Linked DNA regions of Saccharomyces cerevisiae S288C. Changing the gene in region 1 together with any one later gene gives a genetic interaction. Each region holds a gene or a part of one and is shown in the gene's direction. Other genes may lie near its edges. The genes, in order: HDA1, IES1, TCP1 and ARC18.

The links.
Region 2: mutations in HDA1 (region 1) and IES1 together harm fitness more than expected from each alone (negative genetic interaction), as found in Saccharomyces cerevisiae (3 studies listed by BioGRID).
Region 3: mutations in HDA1 (region 1) and TCP1 together harm fitness more than expected from each alone (negative genetic interaction), as found in Saccharomyces cerevisiae (3 studies listed by BioGRID, with this or other methods).
Region 4: mutations in HDA1 (region 1) and ARC18 together harm fitness more than expected from each alone (negative genetic interaction), as found in Saccharomyces cerevisiae (3 studies listed by BioGRID, with this or other methods).

The regions. Positions count from the first base shown.
Region 1 is NC_001146.8:591,385-596,532, forward strand, and holds HDA1 (histone deacetylase HDA1), read left to right. Parts: upstream 1-1,842; coding exon 1,843-3,963; downstream 3,964-5,148. Other genes in the region: rRNA (cytosine-C5-)-methyltransferase RCM1, read right to left, coding at 43-1,515; serine/threonine protein kinase ARK1, read right to left, coding at 4,239-5,148. UniProt on the Saccharomyces cerevisiae protein: Responsible for the deacetylation of lysine residues on the N-terminal part of the core histones (H2A, H2B, H3 and H4).
Region 2 is NC_001138.5:106,913-112,279, reverse strand, and holds IES1 (Ies1p), read left to right. Parts: upstream 1-2,349; coding exon 2,350-4,428; downstream 4,429-5,367. Other genes in the region: YFL012W (uncharacterized protein), read right to left, coding at 1,187-1,633; lipid-binding protein HSP12, read right to left, coding at 4,695-5,024; YFL015C (uncharacterized protein), read left to right, coding at 5,317-5,367. UniProt on the Saccharomyces cerevisiae protein: Probably involved in transcription regulation via its interaction with the INO80 complex, a chromatin-remodeling complex.
Region 3 is NC_001136.10:885,187-889,864, forward strand, and holds TCP1 (chaperonin-containing T-complex alpha subunit TCP1), read left to right. Parts: upstream 1-2,045; coding exon 2,046-3,725; downstream 3,726-4,678. Other genes in the region: GCD6 (translation initiation factor eIF2B catalytic subunit epsilon), read left to right, coding at 1-1,679; UPC2 (Upc2p), read left to right, coding at 4,565-4,678. UniProt on the Saccharomyces cerevisiae protein: Molecular chaperone; assists the folding of proteins upon ATP hydrolysis. Known to play a role, in vitro, in the folding of actin and tubulin. In yeast may play a role in mitotic spindle formation.
Region 4 is NC_001144.5:861,218-865,069, reverse strand, and holds ARC18 (Arc18p), read left to right. Parts: upstream 1-2,815; coding exon 2,816-3,352; downstream 3,353-3,852. Other genes in the region: Rho family guanine nucleotide exchange factor ROM2, read right to left, coding at 1-2,356; Hsp70 family ATPase SSQ1, read right to left, coding at 3,545-3,852. UniProt on the Saccharomyces cerevisiae protein: Functions as a component of the Arp2/3 complex which is involved in regulation of actin polymerization and together with an activating nucleation-promoting factor (NPF) mediates the formation of branched actin networks.

The DNA.
Region 1 (5,148 bases):
ACATATCAGATATACACATATATACATGAATGTTCTGAAAGTTTAATCTCTTTCAAAACAGACAGCAAAGAAACCAATACCACCGTCACTTTTTGGTAGTGCCCTGATACAACCCTCGGCAAGCTGTTGAGGGTCATAGGTGACTCCATCTCTAAAAACCTCTTCGAACTCTTCTACCTTGCCTCTTCTAGGCCAAGAAGGAATAACTTCTCTTTTTGGCGCTACTTTCCAACCCCATTCTCTAACTGACTTATCTAAAAGAAGGTCTATGACGACTCGTTCATTTTCTTCCGCATGAATGGAACATGTGCTGTATACTATTTTTTTAGCCGCTGGGAAACTCATTGCATGCTTTACCATCTGGAACTGAAATGAACTCAGCTTCGCTAACCTTGTCTGTAGTTCTTCCTTTGCTATAAACTCCTCTTGCTCATCCGGCACAATGCCACCATCGTCATCTTTATCATCAATTTTCCTTCTATTAAATGAGTCAAAAAACTTACGACCAAATATACCGCTACCGGAGCAGCTCGGATCTACAATAAAACAAGTAACGTCCTTATATTTTTCAGGAGTAGCGAGCTTTGTAAAATCACCTACATTGACACTGATGTTGGGAGAACAGCCAGCTATCTTGATCATTTTTTGTAAAACTTTTGCTCTTTCAGGATCCTTCTCGAAAGCGTATATTCGAGTATTATTGTCCTTCGGTGGTTCGGGATATATATAAGAGGCCGTATGGGTAGTCTTATTACCTGGAGCAGAGCAGGAATCTATCACAATATCACTTGGTCCTGGATTCAAAATGTGGGCTGGAAAACAAGAAGCACGATCTTGAATGATAATCTTCCCATGCTTATAAAGCTCATGTGCTGTAATTTTGTCAGACGGATGAATTCCAAACAAGTTTGGAATAAACTCATCATAATAGATAGACCCAGGAACTAGTTCAGACCATTTGTCTACCTTTAAAGTAAACTTCTTCCTCAATTCGGCTAACACCGGCTCAGTCTCACCATTTGGATGGCATTTTAATGGATTGATTCTAATCCATCTAACAGGAGGAAGGTCATTGGAAATATCCTCGCTTAATACCAACTCAGATAGCTCTCTTACTTTCAATTTGAGTTTCAATTTGACCATTTCGCTATGCAATGGGCTCTTAAACTTCAAAACATAATCTTTGATGGGGTGTTTGCCCATTTGAATTCTTTTCTGCTTAGACAACAGCAAATCATGGCAAAGCAATAACAAAGTTAGCCTTGAAAAGAGTGGTTTGCCCTTTTTCTTGGGTATATCTTCCAATATGTGTGCCTTTTTCATCACTTTCTCCAAATATGGTTTATATTTCCAACACGAATCGAGAACTGCATAAATATGTTTTGGATTACTTTTCAGCTTATATCTTTTACAGCTTTTCAGTACCAGCGTCTGCATAGAGCCGGAAATCCTTTCTTTTGCAGCCTCCTTCTCAATATCTTCTAGCACCCATGTTGCATCCCTGTAGAAATTCATGCTTTTTCGTAGCTAACTTCTCAGTGAAACACTTGGTGAAGAACCAGCTCTTCTCTTAACCTCATCGAATATTTTAGGCCAGTTTTTTTTTTCCTCACTTGCCATTTTCCCGCACCGTTTGGAAATCTCGAGGAAAATGCTTCTTTCCAAAAGTTTAATCAGGTCACTAATTAGGTAAATAGAGCTGGGAGGAAGCATATACAGTGTTTCGTCTGTGGAAGGAACTTTTATTTTTCTTAAATGTTTTAATTTTTAGTGACCTAATTCACATAACAAAATATTGAGAAAGGGAAAGTTGAGCACTGTAATACGCCGAACAGATTAAGCATGGATTCTGTAATGGTTAAGAAAGAAGTACTGGAAAATCCAGACCATGATTTAAAAAGAAAGCTAGAAGAGAACAAAGAAGAAGAGAATAGCCTCTCTACTACTTCTAAAAGTAAAAGGCAGGTTATTGTTCCCGTTTGCATGCCAAAAATCCATTATTCACCGCTGAAAACTGGTCTTTGCTATGACGTTAGAATGAGGTATCATGCAAAGATTTTCACATCGTACTTCGAGTACATTGATCCACATCCAGAGGACCCAAGAAGAATATATCGTATTTATAAAATACTAGCAGAGAATGGTCTGATTAACGACCCCACTTTAAGCGGCGTGGATGACCTTGGTGATTTAATGCTGAAGATACCTGTAAGAGCCGCAACCTCCGAAGAAATCTTGGAAGTTCATACAAAGGAACATTTAGAGTTTATTGAAAGCACAGAAAAAATGAGCCGAGAAGAGTTATTAAAAGAGACTGAAAAAGGTGATTCCGTATATTTCAATAATGATTCTTACGCGAGTGCTAGGCTGCCTTGTGGTGGCGCCATTGAAGCATGCAAGGCGGTTGTCGAGGGGCGTGTAAAAAACTCTCTAGCTGTCGTAAGACCACCTGGCCATCATGCAGAGCCTCAAGCTGCGGGTGGTTTTTGTCTCTTCAGTAATGTTGCTGTTGCTGCCAAGAATATCTTAAAGAACTACCCAGAAAGTGTAAGAAGGATAATGATTTTAGATTGGGATATTCATCATGGTAATGGCACACAAAAGTCATTCTATCAAGACGATCAGGTGCTATATGTGTCATTACACAGATTTGAAATGGGTAAATACTATCCTGGGACCATCCAAGGACAATATGATCAAACTGGTGAGGGTAAGGGTGAAGGATTCAATTGTAATATTACTTGGCCGGTCGGCGGTGTTGGTGATGCAGAATATATGTGGGCATTTGAACAGGTAGTTATGCCTATGGGGAGAGAATTCAAGCCTGACTTGGTGATTATTTCTTCAGGGTTTGATGCCGCGGATGGTGATACTATCGGACAATGTCATGTCACCCCAAGTTGTTATGGACACATGACACATATGTTAAAATCTCTAGCTAGAGGTAATCTTTGTGTAGTTTTGGAAGGTGGATATAACTTGGATGCGATTGCAAGAAGCGCTTTGAGTGTAGCAAAAGTACTAATAGGGGAGCCTCCTGATGAACTACCTGATCCATTAAGTGATCCCAAGCCTGAGGTCATAGAAATGATAGACAAAGTAATTCGGTTACAGTCCAAGTATTGGAACTGTTTTAGAAGGAGACATGCTAACTCCGGTTGTAATTTTAACGAACCTATTAACGACTCGATAATATCTAAAAATTTTCCTCTGCAGAAGGCTATTCGTCAACAACAGCAACACTATTTAAGCGACGAATTTAATTTCGTTACTTTACCGTTAGTAAGCATGGATTTACCAGATAATACAGTGCTATGTACTCCAAACATTTCCGAATCTAACACTATAATTATAGTCGTTCATGATACTTCTGATATCTGGGCAAAGAGAAATGTTATTTCAGGTACAATTGACTTATCCTCATCAGTTATCATTGATAATTCTCTAGACTTTATCAAATGGGGACTTGACAGGAAATACGGCATCATTGATGTAAATATACCTCTAACTCTGTTTGAACCTGACAATTACTCAGGAATGATTACATCCCAAGAAGTTCTAATATATTTATGGGATAACTACATCAAGTATTTTCCTTCTGTTGCCAAAATTGCTTTTATTGGAATAGGAGACTCATACTCAGGTATCGTACATCTGCTTGGTCACAGGGATACTAGGGCTGTTACTAAAACGGTAATTAATTTCTTGGGAGACAAGCAGTTAAAGCCACTAGTTCCTCTAGTAGATGAAACATTGAGTGAATGGTACTTCAAAAACTCACTTATATTTTCAAACAATAGCCACCAATGCTGGAAAGAAAATGAAAGCAGAAAACCAAGAAAAAAATTCGGTAGAGTTTTGAGATGTGATACGGACGGGTTAAACAATATAATTGAAGAAAGATTTGAAGAGGCTACAGACTTTATACTGGATTCGTTTGAAGAATGGAGTGATGAAGAATGAGGAAAAACTGGCCATTAATAATTTTTTTTCGGCAACCTTCATGCCTTATGAAAGTTGAATAATAATAAAGTTGTTACAATGTTCATTGTATAATCCAATATATCTAAAATAGGAAAAAGAAATGAACAAATGCATTAAGCTGTGTTTTACTAAGTATTATGGGAAAACGTATACATTAAAGTGGATGCTTACATATATAACACATTGTAATAAAGGTTCTTTGAACATGTTACCAGCCTCTTCAGAGATCGATCCGGTTCTGTTGAGCCAAATACTCACTTATCCAAGGATAACTTTCGTCCCGCGAGGAGCAGTGGTTTTGGAGGAGGTTTAGGCTTTAAATGTGAAGGCTTAGGTGGTGGGGTAGGTTTTGTTTTTTTGTCTTTTGAAATCGGGCCACTTGATTTCAGCATTGTTGGCTTATCTATCTCCCCTTTCTCATGCAGCTTGACCTTGGACATTTTCCTAGCGTTGAATGACTCCTCAGAAGAGTTGAGTTTATCGATCATACGCTGTTGAATGGAGTTCTTCAAATTCTGCTTAGATACGTCCAAATCTTCATAAGATGGTTTGTTAAGATCGTCTTTGGAATTATCAATCGTATTAACGAATGTCGACTTAAAAGGTGAATTTTCGTGTTTCAAATTTACCTTTGTAGACGTTGGGGTGAAGCTAGTGCCTGGTAGGCTTGATGAAGTAAGAGATTCCTTTACGGATTGGTTTTTTTTTATGTTACCGCGTGTGGAATAAGAACCTAGAGATCGAGTTTTCTTTAATTCATCTACGTCTCCAGAATAAGATTCATCTGAAGAGGAAGAAGAATCTTCGTACTGGGGTATTATGTTTTGTAGTGGAAAGTCTATTGAATTATTCTGCCTAAAAGTATGTGCTTCAGAGACAATTGCCTGCTTTAACTTGGTTGCGGAATTTGCCTTGAGTTCGTTGTCATTATTTGAAACACTACTCGCTAGCGGTTCAACAAGTGGAGGATCCAATGCGTGGTACATATTCTGTGATTTGTCAAAAAGTGGTTGAGAACCTTTGGCGGAATTACTGAAGCTAGCGTCATATGCTATTTGTGATGGTTTTCTATTAGGATGCATTTGTGCTGTTGTAGTATTATCAGCCATGCTGATTTGAAATGTAGCGTTCGGCATCGTATTTTCCATGGTTGTGGGAGAGTTC
Region 2 (5,367 bases), on another chromosome or scaffold:
TTACGAGAAAGAAATAGTTTTAGATAGATAAACCGTCATTGAGGCGCAGAGCGTACCAACACATTTCTTGTGTCCTTATATAACAATTCCTTCTGATTGGAAAACATGTAGGAACAAACATAAAGAGAATAATTTCACTGGTATAATTCATTTCTGTGTAATAACCCTAACCCAACGGCTACGCCATATCTTTCATAATCAGTCAACTGAGTGTACCCCACATCCGAAACAAAGTATATAACCTTAAAAGTGTCGAAAATAGGTGTCAAATATCGATGAGCACACAAAACCTAGTAGCGGAATTACGACGTCCGTCATTTTCTTAGCGTCGACAAATTTTGATTATACAAAAACAATTCTGAATACTTTGTTAAAAAATACATCCGCTCGATTCAGGGGAGTACAAAAAATAAAAGAAGGCAACTGACAACCCTTGTCAGTCGATAATACAGCGATTAGACTTCTTTCCTTCCTTTTCTACTATAGCTAGCTATAAAGAGCTTGTTTAACAACATATTCAACGCGTTCCGGAGCCGATGAGATGAGGATTGATGACAGTATATGATTTGATAGCGTCACAATAACAGCATCATCACTATAAAGAAACAAAACGAAAAAGGAAACTTAGAGCATTATAGAAAATTAGCTAGTTAATGAAAAATTAAAAATTGAGATTGGTCCTATCATGGCAAGCAAGCTTCCTCTCGTAGTCGCCATCCAGACAGCCGAAATTGATGATACAACGACTGTTTATTTGCGTATGGGATTTCGTGTATACTTCAATGAAAGAAAAAAAAAAAAATATAATAAAACTAATGGTTTTGCAATTTGAAGGGTAAGTTTTTACTGCATATGGCCAAAAAAACTTTTGACTTTTTCATATGTCTATCAAATTATCCATAAGACCATTGCTCATCGAAAGAGATTTCATTTCTTCTCGAAGGCCATTTTTTAATACTCCTTGCAGAATTTTTCCTAATCGTGCATAATCAGTTTTCGTACTTCTCCTCAATGATAACATATTCTTGGAAAGCTGCTTAATGGCGTTTACCAACAATAAATTTATAGACATATACCAAAATCTTCTTTTAGTCCACATATGAACATATTGAAGATATTCTATTGAACAACTTAAAATACTATAAACGCATTCATCTTCTTTTTCTTACTGAGAAATTTTATATTCCTAAAAATTTTGAAATGATCTGAGTTTATTTAGATCTCTTGAACATCCTACAAGAACATTTGAAGGGCAATAATCCTCATCAATACTACTCAATTGTTTTCCATGGGAAAGGATTTCGATCTCTTCCTTTAATATATGTCTTCTAAACCACTTACGTATCCTATCTGTGCTAGAAAGTTTTGTTTTATTCTTCGTATGATCTTCCAATATAAAGTTAGTGTTATTTTCCCACTTCTTGAGGTTACAAACTGGTTCTTTCACTTTCAGCTCCGGATTATTCTGCTTTCTCGTTTCATCCGTTGTTGCGGTAGGTGAATGATTTATTTCAATGACAATGTGTGATACGAGTTCCATTACTTTGATGTAGCCATCATTTTGGAAAGGTGAACTTCCATAAAAAACTGACGAGGAAGACGCAATGGTCCTTTTTGGTCGGGATTTGGGCATCTTTCTATAAGTAGCTAAATTATGGTATTTGATAGCTATATTTGCGACTTATTAGTATTTTGACATTCCATAAAATGCAAAAATTATTTACTATCCTTTTAAATTCAGTTATTATACACGTACATATTTTTTTAAACTGATGCGACAGTTTATCGAGTTTTGTGTCAGAGGACGTGAAAAAATTGCTCTAGTTGAGACCAACATGATTCAGGATGAAAAATTATCCAACGTTCGATTTTCTGGTCTACATGTCATTTGAATAAATTATTTAGCAGACGTTGGATAGAAAGGATTGAAAGATTACATAATGTTATTTCAAAAAAGAGAGAATTGAAATATGCTGGCTGACCTTTACCGAAAACAAGAAGATGAACAGAAGGAAAACCTGAGAGTCGATTGATGTCTCAAAAGACCACTACTGTTATGACACAAAACAATTTAACGACTCTTGATGTAAAGGAACTAAAGCAACACTTTTCTTAACCAAGCCAGTATATATTTTGCAGTATCAGAAATAATCAGACTTTTTTTTTTCTTAGCCCATATTAAGACAATTCTGTAGCATATCGTGTACAACGAAAAACAGGTTACCCTCGAATGCGGTAACGGTACAAGTAAGTAAAGAACGCCCAATGAATGCTGATATGGTATTGGAAACAGTTCATGATTAACTAAGTAAAATCGAAAGCTAAATAAAGGCGACACTCTAATTAAAGATGGGGAAGAGAGTATACGATCCAATTCATGATACTTTCCAACTACGAGAAGACAATTCTGACGAAACAAAAGCAGATTCTCCAATGCAATCTGTAAAATCGGGATCACAAGAAGAAGCATCCCCAAGCTCCATTCAATCAGAGACCGAGACTGTGACTACAAAAAGCATTCCAGTTATACACGAGATTGAAATCGACGATAAAAATGATGATGACTCCACGCAAAGTGAAGAAGAAAATACCAACATCTTGCTCAACTTCGAACCTTCTACAGTGCCTGAAGCAACAGGAGCAAGTACGGCAACGGGGCCAGTGACAACTAACACTGTTAGAAGGAAACCCAAAGAAAGCAATGCCAGTAAATACAATCGTCATTTGAAGAAACCTGACGGCGAGCCATTCAATAGAAAGGACATTCAGTTCAGTTTCATGCAAGAACTGTTGATGGACAAGAGGCAAATCTTCACTAATGTTCTAAAACCCCTATACAAGAACTCTATTGTACCCATTAATATCGATGGCGATAAATTATCAATCAACGTGACCGACAAAGAGTACGATGCAAGGACATTTGTATTTAACGATAAATTGACGTTCGCACAATTGTATGTGTTGACAATAGCCACTTCTATCAAATGTTCCAAAATTCTCAGAGATAAACTATTATTAGACCAACAAGTAGCATTTTCTACTTGTGTTTTAGCGTTATTGGTCAACATTGGTAGGTTGAACACCACTATAAATTTTTATTTAGAAATGACATCGCAATTGAGAACTTTTCACTCCGTGCCAGTTTTACAATTACATGCCAATGATCCGAAACTTTTGCAGGATACACCTAGACTGAAATCTATTCTGAAAAATCTGCCGTGGGGCAATGAGCAACTCTCATTGATGGAGACTTACAAAAAGGTCGACCAAAATGATGGTGAAGTGGACACCGTTAACAAATTTAACATTATTAATATGTTGTTTAGCATATGTGATAATTCCGGCCTAATTGACAAGAGGTTTCTTTCCAAGTATGTGGAAGTCGAATCGAAAGCTCAGGAGCAAGATATGGTAGATGAACAGAATGAAGTAAAAGAAACGGAAGCGGAAAATGAAAAACAAGAATCAAAAGCAGCTTATGCAACAACATTATTTGATATACTGGACTATTCGAAATACGAGCCAAAGGATAGATCAAACATATTGATTTGGCTGCTATATATTCATTTGGAGACAAACTTAAGCCAGGAGGAGGTCGAAGAATCAGTAAGATTTTTCAATGGATTGGAAGATGGTGCACCTGCTGGAAAGTTCATTTTAAGGTGTACGGAACGCAGTTACGACACGGATCCTGAAGATGAATTAGAGTTCGGAGCCAACCAACGCATCAAGAGAAGAGAATTCATGAGTAAGATGGAGGAGGGTAGGAAGCGCGAGCGTACCAATGTTACAGAGGTGAAAAAGCCCAGTATCGGTGGTGACAAGAGTGAAGAGGACGGTGAAGGGGAAGATGACAAGAGCGAGGAGACTGTAGAGGAGACTAGATCACTTTTGACGCCTACGCCCATACTGGAATCTTCTTCACCCATGACATTGAACAGGAAAAAAGTCACACCACAACTGCCCAAAGTAACGCCAGCAGCACCAACAGAAACAGAAGAAGAAATCACCTCCGCTGCTATCATTGACAAAAACGATTTAAATCTAACACCATTGAAAAAATACAATAGTTCGGCTACGGTAAACAAGGTCGACAAGCTAATATCGCTAGATCTGAACAAGCATGTGTCAGAAAATGGTAAGACACAAGAGGAGTTTCTCGCCGATTTGAAAAAATCCCAGGTGCCAAACAGGTTGAAAAGACGCGATATTGGGTTAATCAAGATATTCAATGAATTTGAAGACATCCCCGTAGCGTCAGTGCTTGGGATTCGCGGTAAAAAGAGAAAGAAATTCAAAGATAATTTGCTTGGATTTGAGACGGATTTCATGAAAAATCTCGGCGCTTCAAAGAAAGTACTTTTAAATAAAATCGAACGCGCGGAAATTGATGACGAAGAAGCAACCGCCATGTTTAAGCTGGAGTGAAATAGAACAATACGCACACACACACACACACACATACATACATTTAAGAACATTTTGTAAAGAAAGAGAATTTTTTTTTTTAAAAAAACAGCTAATTTTTAAACTGAACTAGAGTATATGCGTACTTAAGTTTATATATTCCACCTCGATTTAAGCGTTTTTTTTTTAGAATTTTTTTATTACTCTGCTATTCATTGAATATAATATTAAGGAACATCACACATCATAAAGAAAAAACCATGTAACTACAAAGAGTTCCGAAAGATTTACTTCTTGGTTGGGTCTTCTTCACCGTGGACACGACCGGAAACATATTCGACGGCATCGTTCAACTTGGACTTGGCGGCTCCCATGTAATCTCTAGCTTGGTCTGCCAAAGATTCACCTTGACCTTCAGCGTTATCCTTGCCTTTTTCGGCAGAGTCGTGGACACCTTGGAAGACACCCTTGTTGTCTTCTGGTTGAACCTTACCAGCGACCTTGTCGGCCTTGTCAGTGATGTATTCCTTACCTTGTTCAGCGTATGACTTTTGAGAGTCTGGCTTCAAAGCTTCAGAAGCTTTTTCACCGAATCCTTTTCTACCTGCGTCAGACATTGTTGTATTTAGTTTTTTTTGTTTTGAGTTGTTTGTTTGAGATTATCGAATAATCAGATGGTTTTTTTTTCTATATATTAGAGAGAGATTAAATAAGATCAAACGCAATTGAGGAAGTAGAACGCAATTCACCGTCCTATTTATACGTTTTAATATAGATTTAGAGAAAGACCTTTCAGATCAAGAGGGGGACGACCGGAACCTCAAAGTTGACCAAACGATTTTCCAGGGGCTGTAGATCTAGTTACTCTCCGTCTAGAGTGCTTCTGGTCTGTGTTTGTGGGTTGTATTAATGCTTGCGTATACCTTTCCTTCTTTCAATTTCTACGTCAATGGGTTTTTT
Region 3 (4,678 bases), on another chromosome or scaffold:
AAATGCATTTGCAAGATAAAGATCACATCTCGACAATGTGTTTGAGCAAAGCGAGTACCTATCCAAAAACAAGAACTATTGAGCCTGCCGCATTTGTCTTAGACAAATCCACCAGTAGGTGTATTTATTACCAAGATTTACCATTACCAAGCTCTAGAGAGAAGACTTCCATTCAGATTGACCCAGAATTGTTGGATAATGTCGATGAATTTGTCATAAGGAATGACCTCATCGATTGTAGAATTGACATTTGTACATCTCATGTACCTTTGATATTTCAAGAAAATTTTGACTACCAATCATTAAGGACAGACTTTGTTAAAGGTGTCATTTCAAGCGATATATTGGGAAAGCATATATATGCCTATTTGACGGACGAATATGCTGTAAGAGTTGAAAGTTGGCAAACTTACGACACCATTTCTCAAGACTTTTTAGGTAGATGGTGTTATCCCTTGGTCTTAGACTCTAACATACAGGACGATCAAACGTATTCTTATGAATCAAGACATATATACAAGGAAAAAGACGTTGTTTTGGCCCAATCCTGTAAAATTGGTAAGTGCACTGCAATTGGATCAGGAACAAAAATCGGAGAGGGTACGAAAATTGAGAATTCCGTGATTGGAAGGAACTGCCAAATCGGTGAAAATATTAGAATCAAGAACAGTTTCATTTGGGATGACTGTATCATCGGAAATAACAGTATAATTGACCATTCATTAATTGCCTCTAATGCCACGTTAGGGAGTAATGTACGCCTAAATGATGGCTGTATAATTGGTTTCAACGTTAAAATTGATGATAATATGGATTTAGATAGAAACACAAAAATATCTGCCAGTCCATTAAAAAATGCCGGCTCAAGAATGTATGATAATGAAAGCAATGAGCAGTTTGACCAAGACCTTGATGATCAGACACTAGCCGTTTCTATTGTTGGAGATAAGGGTGTTGGTTATATTTACGAAAGCGAGGTGTCTGACGATGAAGATAGTTCTACAGAAGCCTGCAAAGAAATAAACACTTTGAGTAACCAATTAGATGAGTTATACTTAAGTGACGATTCAATTTCTTCCGCCACTAAAAAGACAAAGAAAAGAAGAACGATGTCTGTCAATAGTATATACACGGATAGAGAAGAAATTGATTCTGAATTTGAGGACGAAGATTTTGAGAAAGAAGGTATTGCCACCGTGGAGCGTGCTATGGAAAACAATCATGATCTTGACACAGCATTATTAGAATTGAACACCTTGAGAATGAGTATGAACGTGACATATCATGAGGTGAGAATAGCAACAATAACTGCATTATTGAGAAGAGTTTACCACTTTATTGCAACTCAAACATTAGGTCCCAAGGACGCTGTGGTGAAGGTTTTTAATCAGTGGGGACTGTTGTTCAAGAGACAAGCCTTTGATGAAGAAGAGTATATTGATTTGATGAACATCATAATGGAAAAAATTGTAGAACAGAGTTTTGACAAACCGGATTTGATTCTATTTAGTGCATTGGTTTCTCTATACGATAATGACATAATTGAGGAGGATGTCATTTATAAATGGTGGGATAATGTTTCTACTGACCCTCGCTATGATGAAGTCAAGAAATTAACTGTAAAGTGGGTTGAGTGGTTACAGAATGCTGACGAAGAATCTTCCTCAGAAGAGGAATAAAAGTCCACGCAGTACCCTGCATAATCATGTATTACCATAAAAAGGCTTTAATATGAGAAAAAGGTGAGCGCTATATAGATTTAGTAATTTACATGTTACAGAAGCAAAAAGCAAATATATATATATTTTTTATCATATTAGTTTTTATCCTCAGTAGTACTACTGAAATAATAATCTCAGATTTTTTTTTTTCACTTGCCGAGGGACCTTGTCCTAAGTGGCAAAGAACTGAAAAAAAAAAAAATTGAAATGCGGTGGTATCACATGAAGAGTAAATAACTTAAGCAAAAGAGAGGCCACTGAGAGAGTACAAGAAAGGGACAATAACAATAGACAGAAGACTTTTATATTTGTAATAACTTAGCGATGTCCCAATTATTCAATAACTCGCGCTCAGATACCCTTTTCCTAGGAGGTGAAAAAATAAGTGGTGATGATATTCGTAATCAGAATGTTTTGGCTACTATGGCTGTGGCTAACGTCGTCAAGTCATCTTTAGGCCCCGTTGGACTGGACAAAATGCTTGTTGATGACATTGGTGATTTTACCGTCACCAACGATGGTGCCACTATTTTGTCTTTGTTAGATGTTCAACATCCAGCTGGAAAAATTTTAGTAGAATTGGCTCAACAACAGGACAGAGAAATTGGTGACGGTACTACTAGTGTTGTTATTATTGCTTCTGAGTTGTTGAAAAGAGCTAATGAATTAGTCAAAAATAAGATTCATCCAACTACCATCATAACTGGTTTCAGGGTTGCATTAAGAGAGGCTATTCGTTTTATAAATGAAGTTCTTTCCACAAGTGTTGACACTTTAGGGAAAGAGACGTTAATTAATATAGCCAAGACTAGTATGTCCTCTAAGATCATTGGTGCTGACTCTGATTTTTTCAGCAATATGGTTGTAGATGCTCTTTTGGCTGTTAAGACGCAAAATTCCAAAGGAGAAATCAAGTATCCCGTAAAGGCTGTCAATGTGTTGAAAGCTCATGGTAAATCTGCCACTGAATCACTGTTGGTGCCAGGTTATGCTTTGAATTGTACAGTTGCTTCTCAAGCAATGCCTAAACGTATCGCCGGTGGCAATGTGAAAATCGCATGTTTGGATTTGAACTTGCAGAAAGCTCGTATGGCAATGGGTGTTCAAATCAACATTGATGATCCGGAACAATTGGAGCAAATCCGTAAACGTGAAGCTGGTATTGTTTTGGAAAGAGTGAAGAAGATCATTGATGCTGGTGCTCAAGTTGTGTTAACCACCAAAGGTATTGATGATTTATGCTTAAAGGAGTTCGTTGAAGCTAAGATAATGGGTGTAAGACGCTGTAAGAAGGAAGATTTGAGAAGAATTGCACGCGCTACAGGCGCCACTTTGGTTAGTTCTATGTCTAACTTAGAAGGTGAGGAAACTTTCGAAAGCAGTTATTTAGGTCTTTGTGATGAAGTAGTTCAAGCCAAATTTTCTGATGATGAGTGTATCTTAATTAAGGGTACTTCTAAACATTCATCTTCTTCGATCATTTTAAGAGGTGCCAACGATTATTCTTTAGATGAGATGGAACGTTCTTTGCACGATTCTCTTTCTGTTGTCAAAAGAACGCTTGAAAGTGGAAATGTTGTCCCCGGTGGAGGTTGCGTTGAAGCCGCATTGAATATCTATTTGGACAATTTTGCCACCACAGTTGGTTCTCGTGAACAGTTAGCTATTGCTGAGTTTGCAGCTGCATTATTAATCATTCCAAAAACTTTAGCTGTTAACGCTGCCAAGGATTCTAGTGAATTAGTTGCAAAATTAAGGTCCTACCATGCCGCTAGTCAAATGGCCAAGCCAGAGGACGTTAAGAGGAGAAGCTACAGAAATTACGGCCTAGATTTGATTAGAGGTAAAATTGTGGACGAGATTCACGCTGGTGTTCTTGAGCCAACCATAAGCAAAGTCAAATCCTTGAAATCAGCATTGGAGGCTTGTGTAGCAATTCTAAGAATTGATACAATGATTACAGTGGATCCAGAACCACCCAAAGAAGATCCGCACGATCATTGATTCTTTGCGTAATCCGAACGAGATTCTGTATCTGCATGTAAACTAATAAACCTATATAAAATTTAATTATATTTTTTTCAGCTAGTTCTATTTTTGAATTTGATCGCTAACTCTGGGCAGTTGATAAGCGCTTCCCAGCTTTTCACGTGCGAGGTGGACTAATACGTAATAACGCGTACCTATTAGGACTTCGTTGAGTTGTTTTTCTTGTCCAAATGCAGAAGCGGGTCCCTACAAACTATTGTGTTTGTTCGTAAACGAGCAGGAACCCTGTTAAAGGAAAAAAGCTTAACGCTAGCGTTACATTTTAGTAAGGCGGCAATAAAAAAGAATGCGGAGTGTATTCCATGAATTCAATTGCGCTTACTGCTAAGCCTGTTTCTAAACATGATCCCCAGGGTGAATATCTCCCATAGTGGCTGTGTTATTCTGTCTAAATGTGGCAGCTAAATAAGGTTTTTTCCAAGCTATTTTTTTCTCTAAACGAGCGCACCTTAGCGGGATCGCGTCAAATTTTCGCCCAACGAATATTATTCTATTGTCTTCAGTGAATGTGCTTGTCGAAATCTATATATGCGCCGCCCTGGCAGGATCAGCAAATACAAGTTACTTGGAAAGTCGCGGCATAGAAAGTAGACACTTCTTTTGTCAAAGATTGATATTGCTTTCAGGGTGCGATAGTGCTGACTGTTCCTCTAAACAGCGATTTTTTACATACATTAACTTTTTGAAGTTGTAGGAACTATCTTTTCTCATTTATCCAACACTAAAACAAAATTGAGCTTTCCAGAAATAGTGAATCAAAAAAAGTTAAGTACAAATATTTACAGTTCAGCAGTATGAGCGAAGTCGGTATACAGAATCACAAGAAAGCGGTGACAAAACCCAGAAGAAGAGAAAAAGTCATCGAGCTAATTGAAGTGGACGGCAAAAAGGTGAGTACGACTTCAACC
Region 4 (3,852 bases), on another chromosome or scaffold:
AGCTCATCATATCGTCATCAAATCTAGCAAAATAGGGATTGACTGATCTTTGGGTTTCAATCAAGTACTTCGCATATGGTCTTGAAGCGACATATGAAACAAATGGTTCAAAAAATGGAATGAATCTTAAAACAATGTCCCCAATTCCTCTCACAACTGGTGAACTTCTTTGCCTATCAGTTAAAGCCTTCAAAAAACGTCTATTCACTGAATAGATATCGTTTATATGTGCAAAAACATGCTTGATGAAATTTTTTCTAATATCTGCTGAAATAATATTTGTTTCAGCCAAAGTCTTCATGAATGTGTCTCTTGTAATTTCTAATGATTTTACAAAGTTCTTCTCCGTGATATAAACTTCATAAATAGCCTCTTGTCTTTTTATTTCCTTTTTTGGTAAGTTTTCCCAATCCTCTTTAGATACGGAACTTGTCCAAGATGGCTTTTCTTCGTCATCATCATCCAATGCCATTGATATATTACGTTTCAGGCCGCCATTTGGTTTCAGATTTAACCTTGCTTGTTGCTCAAGACGTCTTGGACACGAAATAGAGTAACACAAAGCGTCTCTTGTGCACGTAGGGGAATAGCATTCCGCCAGTAATGTAAACACACCATTGACGTTATGAATGGCTGCAGGGTTCTTTTGCTGGGACAATGAACTACTCATATGTAGCCTCGACCCTGTCAAAGTTGCCTGATCACTATTCAAAGATGAAGTTGAACTTGATGGAACCATTCCGGAATTCGGATAAGAGTGGTTCCCGGAATTAAAAGATGATGAGTTTGGGAGTAGCATCAGTGGATCATGGGCGTTTGTGGAACCTGTTCCTGTAAATCTTGAGTTATCTGTAAATTCGTAAACTTCATGTGGTGAATCTCTTAACCTGTGCTCGTATACCACATCATGGAACAGCTTTTGTGCATCTAGTGATCTACCAAATAACAAGGCTAAGTTTCTATCAGAAGTTCTAATGATAGCACAGATGACATCGACTGCCTGCTGCCCTGTAAATGCGTCACGGTAAACTAATCCATCCTTCTTATGTTCCCCGAGTTGTATCGAACTTTTAAATTTTGTGGCGACTCTTGACAACAAAGCTGGATATACCTGAGGTTTTTTTGATGAAGCGCTCATAACAGGTCTAGATGCCGACAAAGGTGTCATACTACTTCTACGTGGAGAAGATAGAGAAGTTCCTGAAACCGAAGTGTATCTTTTTAAAGCTAATGAGGTGGAAGAAACTCTCGTTTTAAGACCCAACCCAATATTAGACGAGCTTCCCATAACACTTGAGGAGTTTCCAGACCCGTGGACATTATTTAGGCTACTGTGACTGTTTGAAGAGTGATGATGATGATGATGATGATGAGGATCTGAGAATGGGTTGGAAGTTATATCATATTTTTGCGTAGCTTTCCTGCTGTTAGAAGTCTTCGATTGAAAAGATGATGCAATATTTTTTAGAGTAGATGAGTTCAACGACATCGATCTAGATGATATAGAATGTGAATGTTGAGGGTAATTACTGTTACTACTACCCACTTGATAATGTGCGCCATTATTATTAGTATTATTATTATTATGATTGTTAATATTATTATGCTGAATATGCTGGTGATGTTGGTGCTGTTCGTGCAAGTCTTTGGAACTTGGTCTCGAAAAGAAACCAAACCCTTGCAAAGGCGATTTTCTAGCCTGTGTAGGAGTGGTTGATGCACTGCCGGTGGAAAAACTGCTCTGCTTCTTAAGACCAGCAAGTGCTAGTTGCGGGAGCGAAGGTTTCCTCTTAGGCACAAAAGCTGTAGTACTTTTATTCTTCTGGTAAACTTCATTTCTTGGAGACATTGGAGGCAAAGGGTGGTCATTATAGTGCTTGGCTTGTCTACTAGCACTATTACTCGTTGAATATATATGGGACATCGATTTAGCATGAACAATGGGATGGGAAGATGTGGCATCTCTTGCCTTCTTTGGACTGCTCACAGGTGTATTATCAGCACTAGACAAACTTTGTGTATCTGGAACTTCCTTAATATTAGTCTGCTGCGATAAAATGTAATTTGAGCTTTTCCCCTTCATTTCGTTATTTGGTATATCAGAATCATCGATGGCGGCTTCAACTCCAGAACGTCTCCTCTGCTTGGCAATAATGATGTCATTAGCAATGTCTTCAGAAAGCAGAACATTTAGATTCTGGATATTTTCGATTCTATTAGGCAGCAGCTGAGAACTTATGTCTCCGTGCGAGTCACTATCAAAAGTAGCGAAGGAATCTGGCCTCCTTTCTACACCAAATATTTGGGAGTATATGTCATTTCTGTCCCCTAAGCTGTCAACGTTGGTTTCGCTCATAACCGCAGGAAAAGAGATGAATTGTCCAATTAAGTCAGCAGTAATAGAGCACTGTAATCGATTACACTAACAGAGCGAATGAATATATTAATGACCACAAACAACAAATAAAAAAATAGCTATAAAACAGCAAAAAAAAAATCCAGGAAAACCTAATCGGCTCAATACTGTTATTAAATTAGGTCGTCAGTACTCACTGGTCATAATGCCCTTTAAAAACTTTCTTCAAGCCTTAGGACCTCGGACTTCCATACCATTGTTTTCACTATCATTCTCTCTCAGTTTCACAGACTCGGCCGTTACGCGGATCATCCACCACGAACCCCTATCCTTTCCGTTGCGGTTTGGTTTAGTATAACAATGAATAACAATAAATTAAACACTTGGTGCGCAGTAACAAACATCAATAAAGGAAGATTATTGGTATTATCAGTCTCTCCACTCCCAGTATATTAATAAATGCCTGCGTATCACTCGACTTTCCCTGTAGATCCTAACACTGACCGCATGGTAGGGAACTTTGCGCTTCTGCCCTTGAACACTAAGTTCAGGGGTCCTGCATACCCCAGCAATTCCGATTACGATATTATCGACGAGTGCTTGGACCTATTTCGTGCCAATTCCTTCTTCAAGAATTTTGAAATTAAATCACCCGCCGACAGAGTGCTCATCTACGGAATTCTCTTTATCAATGATTGCCTAGCCCATTTGAAAATAACAACGTCATTTAACGAAGCCGTCAAAGTGTTAACCAATGTGGCCTTGGACAACTTTACTTTACCAGGTACACCGGGTTTCCCTCTGAATAATGTTTACCAAGTTCCAGTACAAGATCATAATTCGATGGACTTGTTGAAGACTTATATTCAGCAATTCCGTCAAGAATTGGCAATGAGACTATTAGAAAGAGTCTATAGCTCTACAGATTCTAAGGAATATCCCTCAAAGTTTTGGTTGGCGTTCACAAGAAGAAGATTCATGAACAAATCTCTATAAAGGTATACGGTGCAAGGAAAATAATAAAAACTAGAATTTATGGGAACATAATAATCCACATGCAACTTTATTTGAACCGAAAATTTGAAACGGGAAAGAAATATATAAATGTATAAAGTATAAATACGTCAAAATATGCTTTAATGAACGATATACACGTTAATATACAAGTCTTATTTGTGTTTTGTTCACTTATTTACCTTGATTCTGCTGGTTTTTTGTTGCGCTTTGGAATAATTTTAATGCCCTACCCTGTAGCGCATCCGTAGCTTTTTTTATTCCGTTTACATCAATTGACATGTCATTTTCGTTAGCCTTAAAATTCTTTATAGCTTGTCTCAGAGCTTTGATGTCCTCTACGATATTAGAATACTCTTTTTCGCTAGAAATCAGTTTTTCATATCTTTTAAATAAATTCTCAGTATCACTTATCATAATGTCAGCCTTAGAGATAAGCTCTAACCTTTGCCTGATCAAGTTATCTTGTGCCCTATTTGCAT